Linked DNA regions of Canis lupus familiaris. The protein of the gene in region 1 interacts with the protein of each later gene in a pairwise test. Links are inferred from orthologs where the notes say so. Each region holds a gene or a part of one and is shown on either strand. Other genes may lie near its edges. The genes, in order: MRFAP1 and BRK1.

Evidence for each region.
Region 2: the proteins of MRFAP1 (region 1) and BRK1 interact in binary tests that used the Homo sapiens proteins (3 or more experiments, as listed by UniProt). The link is inferred for Canis lupus familiaris from reciprocal best matches to the Homo sapiens genes MRFAP1 and BRK1.

The regions. Positions count from the first base shown.
Region 1 is NC_049224.1:59,279,447-59,283,356, reverse strand, and holds MRFAP1 (MORF4 family-associated protein 1), read right to left. Parts: upstream 2,843-3,910; 5' UTR 2,716-2,842; intron 2,596-2,715; exon of another isoform or gene 2,593-2,595; 5' UTR 2,558-2,592; coding exon 2,174-2,557; 3' UTR 2,162-2,173; intron 1,790-2,161; 3' UTR 736-1,789; downstream 1-735.
Region 2 is NC_049241.1:8,298,689-8,302,511, reverse strand, and holds the start of BRK1 (protein BRICK1), read left to right. Parts: upstream 1-754; 5' UTR 755-835; coding exon 836-953; intron 954-3,823. UniProt on the Homo sapiens protein: Involved in regulation of actin and microtubule organization. Part of a WAVE complex that activates the Arp2/3 complex. As component of the WAVE1 complex, required for BDNF-NTRK2 endocytic trafficking and signaling from early endosomes.

The DNA.
Region 1 (3,910 bases):
GTTTTACACTTACTGATTGGGCTTCCTAGGAAGCAGACTTCAAGATGAAAATTACATTAAAAACATTTAACAGTCAGTGCAGGTTGTTTATTAGGGCTTAGGCGCCATGGGAGGCCTGTTAGACTAGGCAGAGAAGCAGCCCTAGAAACAGCCTCAGCAGACCCCACAGGCAGCTCACACAGAGATGCCCTTCAAAGTCTTCCCAGCTTGTAGCAAGAGGCAAAGAGCCCTTAGACCCCTAGTCTATTAGTCCTTGGATATGGGCCACCCAGGAAAGGGGGCATGACCTCAGCTAAGGCTACTCTTAAGCAGAGGCGCTTCTGGAGGGCTGACCAGCTACACACCATCTGTCAGCAACACTTCTAGCAGCTGGGGAGTAAGCGCATCATATCTGAAGGTGCTGGGAGTGGTGTGGTCCACACCCCCCCTTACCATAGCATTCCCTAATGTGAGGGCTAATGTTCCAGTTTTTTAGGTTAGGTGACTGGAAGTACTATGGCCTGTCTGAAGGCAATGGCCCAGACCACAGGATTTCAAGAGGTTCCTTCCTACACTAAAAACTGAGTCTGCCCTTTTTCGATCAACATGTAGATACTAGCATGCAGAAATAAATCTTCCCCGTGACCAGAGGCTGAGAGCGTCAAAAACTAGAAGAAATTCATCCTCCATTTGGTAATGATGACAATCAATGAGAAAGATTTTGAGAGAAATAAAATTTTAGTCAATAACTTTTTAGGTCCTTTGTCTTTTCAAGCAAATGAATACTTTTATTAACATGGTCTTTTTTTTTTTCTTTTTTTTTTTTTTAATTACACATGGTAGGGTTTTGACCTCAAATGCTTTGTCAGGTCTGCTACTCAAATGAACTTATAGCAGGACGACCTATCAACCTCAAAAATACCTAGTCCCTGTCCAGTTTAGGGTCCAATGCAGACAGTCCTCCTTTCTTTTCCCAGCCAGCCCCTCAAGAGCCTTTGCAAATATCTCTTCCATTGTGAATCCCCTGAAATGATCAGAATATCACATCAACTTGTACAAAAACCAAGATCTTGTCTATTCTAGGTTCCATATCAAATAAAACTGAGTTGGGTTGTCCAAATAAACTGACCAGACAGGTTACATCAGATAGTACGCCACATAAAATTTAAATTTTGAACAAAATACATCTTTTCTCCTTTGGTCTCACACAGAAATTAAAGTCCGGAAAATACAGACACTACTATCATCCTCCACACCTCCTTTCGACTCCTCAGTCCTAGCCAGGTCAACCCCATTCACATTCCCAGTTGAAGTCTGGTCCCTTCTTCTTCAGCTTCTTGAGCAGTTGCTGCACGAAGCAATCTTCCAGAAGTAAGCAGCTCCTTCAGCACCTCCAGAGCTGGAAGACTCCAACTCTTGAGTCTCATGTGACACAGACTCAAAGATCCAGGGAGCTATATCAAGTCACACAAGAAAGCACAAAGCACCTCAAAACCTAGAAATCACCAAAGCCCAAGAACAAACATCACTGCTGCAAGAGCTTACAATCTCGGCCCTAATTCTCATGTGAGATCATCTTCCAAATAAAAGTTACTTTTCCAAACAAAAACATTTAACAGTCAAAACTTATTTTGAGGTCACCAACCACAGACCATAGCAAAAAACGTAGTGTAAGTGAGGACAGAGTGTGGGGTGGGGTGGGGGGGGGGGTGGGGGAAGAGAGAGAGAAAACAAAAGGCTCTCTGGTTTCAGCTTCTCAAGGATGTCAGCCAATCTCCCATCAGTTGACCAGAATCCGTTGGCTGTAAACCTAAAGTACAGTTCGGGAGTAGAGGGGAGAAAGCCGTCATTCAAGAGGTTAATTCCGAAAAAGAAAACCAAACGAATCAAAACCCCTCACCAATTCAAACACGCAGGACGCCCCCCGACCCGCTCCGATCTTCCGGCAAACCCCAAAACGGCCCAATAACCGCTCCCCTCGGCTGGTCCTCTCTCTCCTCGCCGTGGCTCGGCGGCCCCGGCGTGACTCTGCCTCCCTCAAGGCCTGCACAGGTGGCTCTGCAGGGCACCGCGGCTCCCGGGTGCAAGCGGACACACTCCGGCCGCCCTGCTCACACGCAGGGTACAACCGGAGCGCGCCGCGGCCTCTGCTCCCCCCGCGCCGGCCTCCCTTCCGCCTTACCGCCCTCCTCCTTCAGGACGACTCGCTTCTCTCTATCCGCCGCACCAGCTCCACCAGCATCTCTGCCATCTTCGCGATCTCCTTGGCCTTCTCGTCCGCCTTCTCGCCCCTCTTGGCCGCTCTGCCGTCCACCGCGTCGCCGGGATTCTGCAGGTGATTCAGGGCGCTCTCCTCCGAGGCCTCCACCTGCGTTTTTATCTGGATGAGCATATTGTCCATCTCCCACAGCTTGCTCCTGTTGCGCATGTAGGCTCGGCCGTGCTCCCGGGTGAGGGCGGCGATGTCCTCCCGCATCTCGTTGATGACCGGCAGCAGGAACTGCTCGAAATCCTCCTCGGGCTCCAGCACTTCCACCTCCTCCGGCTCCGCCAGCTCGACGATGTCCAAGGGCCGCATCCTCTCTGCCTCTCCGGAACCGCGCTTACCGACGTCTGCTGCGGAGAGAAAATGGAGACTCGCTAGGCTTACCGACAGAGTTCCAGAAAATCCTTTAAAACTTTTACCCTTTTTAAACTTTTTTCGCTTCACAGGAGCCGCGGAAACGAACGACTTACGAGGAGAGGAGCCGCGAACAAAATGGAGTCCCAGCCGTCAACCAGCGCCCTGCGCGTTGCGGCCCCTTTCGCGACACGGCCGTGCCTCTTTACGGTCACGCCGCTCGTGGAACGAGGCGCGGGCGCGCGCACGCCGACGGAGGATGGGCGGGGCAACCCCGCCCCGCGGCCGGGAGCGCGCACGTACTGGCGCGCACTGTGCTTGACTTGCGCTTGCCGCTTTCCCCTAGGTCGCGCCCCTGCGCCGCCCTCCTTTTGGGGTGAGCCCTTCTGGGCGCGCCCTCCTCTTGGAGGGCTTCTGGAGCACTCAGTTATATATTTTTTAAGGCTTAACCGCGCCCTTCCTGCAATAAACAAAGATAGAAAGGCTGTGGCATCCCCAGACTAACTCCCATAGCCCCTTGTGTTTTAGTAGGGCGGCCAAACCCCTCTTAGCTGTCAGGAAAGTGCATTTTTCCGTCATCTTCGGCTTACAGTCGGAAATGCCTGCGTGTGTTTTCACCAGGCGGGACCCCCCTCGCTCCAGGGTACCAGGCCCCTACTGGTACCTTCATCCCGAGGCTCCGCCAGACCCAAAGCTCAGGGGGATGTGAGGAGGGTTTTCTTGGCTAGCCTTTGCAGGTGTCACCACCGGTCCAGGGTCCTCTGGGGGTCTGTGTCCCTGAAGCCCTGGGCGCAGCTTGGCACGTGCTAGTAAACTCGCTTTAAGGGGCGCCTGGGTGGCTCAGTGGTTGAGCATCTGCCCTCATCTGGGTGGTGGTCGGGGGGGTCATGGGGTCAAGTCCAGCATTGAGCTCGTCCAAGGGAGCCTGCTTCTCCCTCTGCTTATGTCTCTGCCTCTTTCTCCGTGTCTCTCATGAATAAATAAACAAAATCTTTTTTTAAAAACCATACTAAACAATTTTGAGAAATGATAATTTTCTAGCCTGTGGATGGGGTCATAAAACAGGAGTTAAAACTTGAGGAATCCAGCTTGCACAAGTGCGGAGCCTTTGGCTTTTGTTTTGCACAAATCTTAGTTGTGACTATGGTAAGAGTTAAGGGGGAAAAGAAACAATAGTCATGAAAATGCTTTGTAAATACCAAATATATACACATGTAAGGTCCTTATATTTTAGATATTTGTCAGATTCCTTATCTTTTGTTGCTTTACTAGAAATCCAACTTTTGGGCTTCCTCAGTATATCAGAGGCAG
Region 2 (3,823 bases), on another chromosome or scaffold:
GCAGAGACACAGGCAGAGGGAGAAGCAGGCTCCATGCAGGGAGCCCGACGTGGGACTCGATCCCAGCACCTCGGATCAGGGCCTGAGCCTAAGGCAGACGCTCAACCACTGAGCCACTCAGGCGTCCCTGGTTGTTTTGTTTTGTTTTTTTTTTTTTTTAAATAACGTTACAAAGGGCACCTTTGTGCTTAAAGTCTTTTTTTTTTTTTCTTTTTCAATGATTTTTCTCAATGAAATAATTAGGTCAAAAAAGTCCGAATTTTTTTTTTTGACAGCTCTTGCTATCAATTTACAAATTGCCTTCAGGAGTTGTGCCAGTTTACAGTGTGACCAGCTATTTAGGAGCCTATCAATTTCCCCTGGGCCTCTCCATCACTGGGTGCCATTGTTTAAACAACAAAAAAAAATGTTTTGTTCATTGGATGGGTCCAAGGTGGGGAATCATGTTGTGCTGCTGAAAGCCATTTTTAAAATGAGTCGTACTTAATGCGTCTTAATCGGCGACACACGGCCAACTTAGTTTGGAGCAACTGACCGAGCGAGCGTCTCGCGGTCCCGCGCCCGCTAACGACCCAAACCGCGGGCGACCGGGTCTGCGGTGCGCAGGAGAGGCGCGGCGCGTGCGCACTGCCCCCTCCCCGGCCGCCTTCTGGCGACTTTTTTCAGGGGCGTGGAGCAGAGAGAAAACGCACGCGAGGACTTGACGTCGCGCAGGCGCATCACAATGCCGGTGGATTCGTGGGTGCCAAGGGATGGGCGTGGGCTGGCGGCGCAGGCGCCCTGGCGGCCTGGAGGGTCGCGGCGCCTGCGCAGTGGCTCTCTTCAGGCGGCAGCCATGGCGGGCCAAGAGGATCCGGTGCAGCGGGAGATTCACCAGGACTGGGCGAACCGGGAATACATTGAGGTCATCACCAGCAGCATCAAGAAGATCGCGGACTTTCTCAACTCCTTCGGTCAGCGGGCGAGCAGGGGGCCGCGGGGGTTGGGTAGGAGGCCGCTCGGGCAGTTTGGCGAAGGCGCTGAGAAGCCTTGAAGGGGCTTGCCCCGGGAGCCCTGGGCGCTTGCTGGTTTCCGCGTCCTTTGCAGCCCACCTTGCCCCTCTCGCCCGGATCCTTAGGCCTCACCGGGCAGTCCCTGTAGGGTTATCCTGCGCCGGGCTGAGCTCCTCGGCTTCATTGCCGTCACCAGCAGATCCATTAGCAAGCCTTGCCCTCTCCCCGACTCTATAGAGGCAGCTGCATCCACAGCCTCGTCTTCGGTAGCCTCCCTGCTTCCTTTGTGACCCGCTTCCCTTCCAGTTCCCGCTTTGCACTTAGGGTGCGTCAGTCACAACGCAGCCACAGCCGTGTCGCTGCCCTCGTGTGAGTTTCTTGAGGCTTCCGCATCATTGTCAGGATCTCTTGAGCGCCATACCGTTGAGTCGCCTCTTCTGTCTTCCGGTTTTGCTGCGCTGAGAGTGGTGGGAGATGAGGCCAGATGTAAGGTCACGGAGAGCTCTGTATTGCTGCCACTAGCCAGCAGTAGGTATTGCTTCTGCTTCTAGCAAAATCTTTCCTAGGCATGGCGCGCTTGTGACAGATTCTTTCTGTTTTGTTCGTGTCCTTCTGGACAGCAAACCTGTAACAGACTCCCATCTCATGTGCTCCAAGTGTTTCCTTAACAGAACTGGGCACTGCGTAGACTTAAGTAATCACAAGGTGTAAGGATGACATCTAGTGATCTTTTTCCAACTAGTGTGCTTCTGTTCCACTAATTCAGCAACAAGCAACGAAGATTAAGTAGGGGAAACCGATGTATTTAAAAAAAAAAAAAGATTTTAAATGAATTAATTATTTTCCAGCTGGAGAACTGATGCATCCTGAGGAGTAAGGTAAAAGAGCATGAATTTTCTTAGAAAGCATCAGCAAGAGAAACCAGATCTCGGTAGAAAGCGCTCTCAGGTACTCTGGAGGACACAGAATAAGAATCATTTCCTGCTTTCAAGGAATTTCTGTCTTGCAAATGAAATAATGACAGTTTCAGAACATCGGTTTTGTATTAATATATATCCTTATAAAGTGTGTAGGACTATAATTTTGATGAGTCTTAGTATGATGGATCTTTCTCACCAGGGAATGACTGAGGGTAGTTACTGAAAAGAATAGTATAGAGTCATATGAAAGAATAGTATAGAGACGCCTGGATGGCTCAGCGGTTGAGCATCTCCCTTCCGCTCAGGGCGTGATCCCGGGATCCAGGATGGAGCCTGCTTCTCCCTCTGCCTGTGTCTCTGCCTCTCTCTCTCTCTCTCTCTCTCTCATGAATAAATATATGAAATCTTAAAAGAAAAAGAAAGAATAGTATAAGTATGTCATTGATACATATTCACACACATAATTTGGTATAGAGGTTGTAGTAGGGAATGGTAGTCAACATAGATCTCGTATATCCTGACATCTTTTAAGGACTATGAGCAAAGGAGTATGGTTTAGTGAAAAAGATACATGGATTTTTGGAGATAGACTCAAGTTCAGAGGCTAGATTAATTGATTTGAGTGAACTGAGACTATTTACCCTACTATTCAGATAATCTGGGTTTCTTTCCTCAGTTTTTTTCTTTTTTCCTAAGTTCTATGCAAACTCTTTCAATACTAGTTTTCATAATTGGTTTCTCCTACTTTTTCTGGAGAGCTTGAACTATTATTGGAGGTTGTTCACAGCATTATTTACTCATAACATTTCTTCAGACAAAGGACCATGGAAGAGAAACCAAAATATTTCATGGTAGTAGAAGGATGGAATGGTGCTTCTTCCAGAAGGAGGATCCTTCCAGAAGGATCTTCTAGGAGAAGATCACGGCTTGAGATTTGGCTTAGTTAGGAGAGGCAGTGGAAAGTAGTTGGAAAAATCACTGACATGGAGAGTTTTAACCTTAAAAAGCAGAATTAAAAGATTTCACCTATCTGGTAAGATCTGATCTATACACACAGATTATCTAAGCAAAGTATTAAGAACATCAACTAAATCAAAACATCTAAAATAACAAGTCATAGGGCGCCTGGGTGAGTTAGTCAGTTAAGCTTCCGGTTTCAGCTCTGGTAGTGATCTCAGTGTCGTGAGATGGAGCCCCAATTTGGAGTCCCTGCTCAGTGCACAGTCTGCTTAAGATTTCTCTCCCTCTCCCTTTCCCTCTACCCCACCCACTCAGGCACATGCCTTTTCTTTCTCTCTCTCTCTCTCTCTCTCTTTCTCATAAATGAATAAATTTTTTAAAAAGTAAATTAAGCTGGGGCTGTTTTTCAAAATTTAAAAATGATCTAGCACAAGTCCCCCAAATTTGGATCTGGGTAATGTAATAACTTCATTTCTGAGCACTGAGTTGTATTAATGAACCTTTTTTTTTAAGGATTTATTTATTTTAGAGAGAGAGCGAGCTTGAGTGAGGGTGGAGTAGAGGGAGTCTTTTTCTTTTTTTTTTTTTTTTTTTTTCTTTTTTTAGATTTTATTTATTTATTCATGAGAGACAGAGAGACACAGGCAAAGGGAGAGAAGCAGGCTCCATGCAGGGCCTGACATGGGACTCAATCCTGGGTCTCCAGGATCACGCCCTGGGCTGAAGGCGGCGCTAAACCGCTGAGCCACCCAGGCTGTCCCGAGGAAGAGATAGTCTTAAGTAGACTCTGCTGAGCTGGAAGCCCAAAATGGGGCTCTGTCTCAGGATCCTGAGATCATGACCTGAGCTGAAATTAGGATTTTTTTTTTTTTTTTTTAGATTTTATTTATTTATTCATTAGAGACAGAGAGAGGCAGAGACACAGGCAGAGGGAGAAGCAGGCTCCACGCA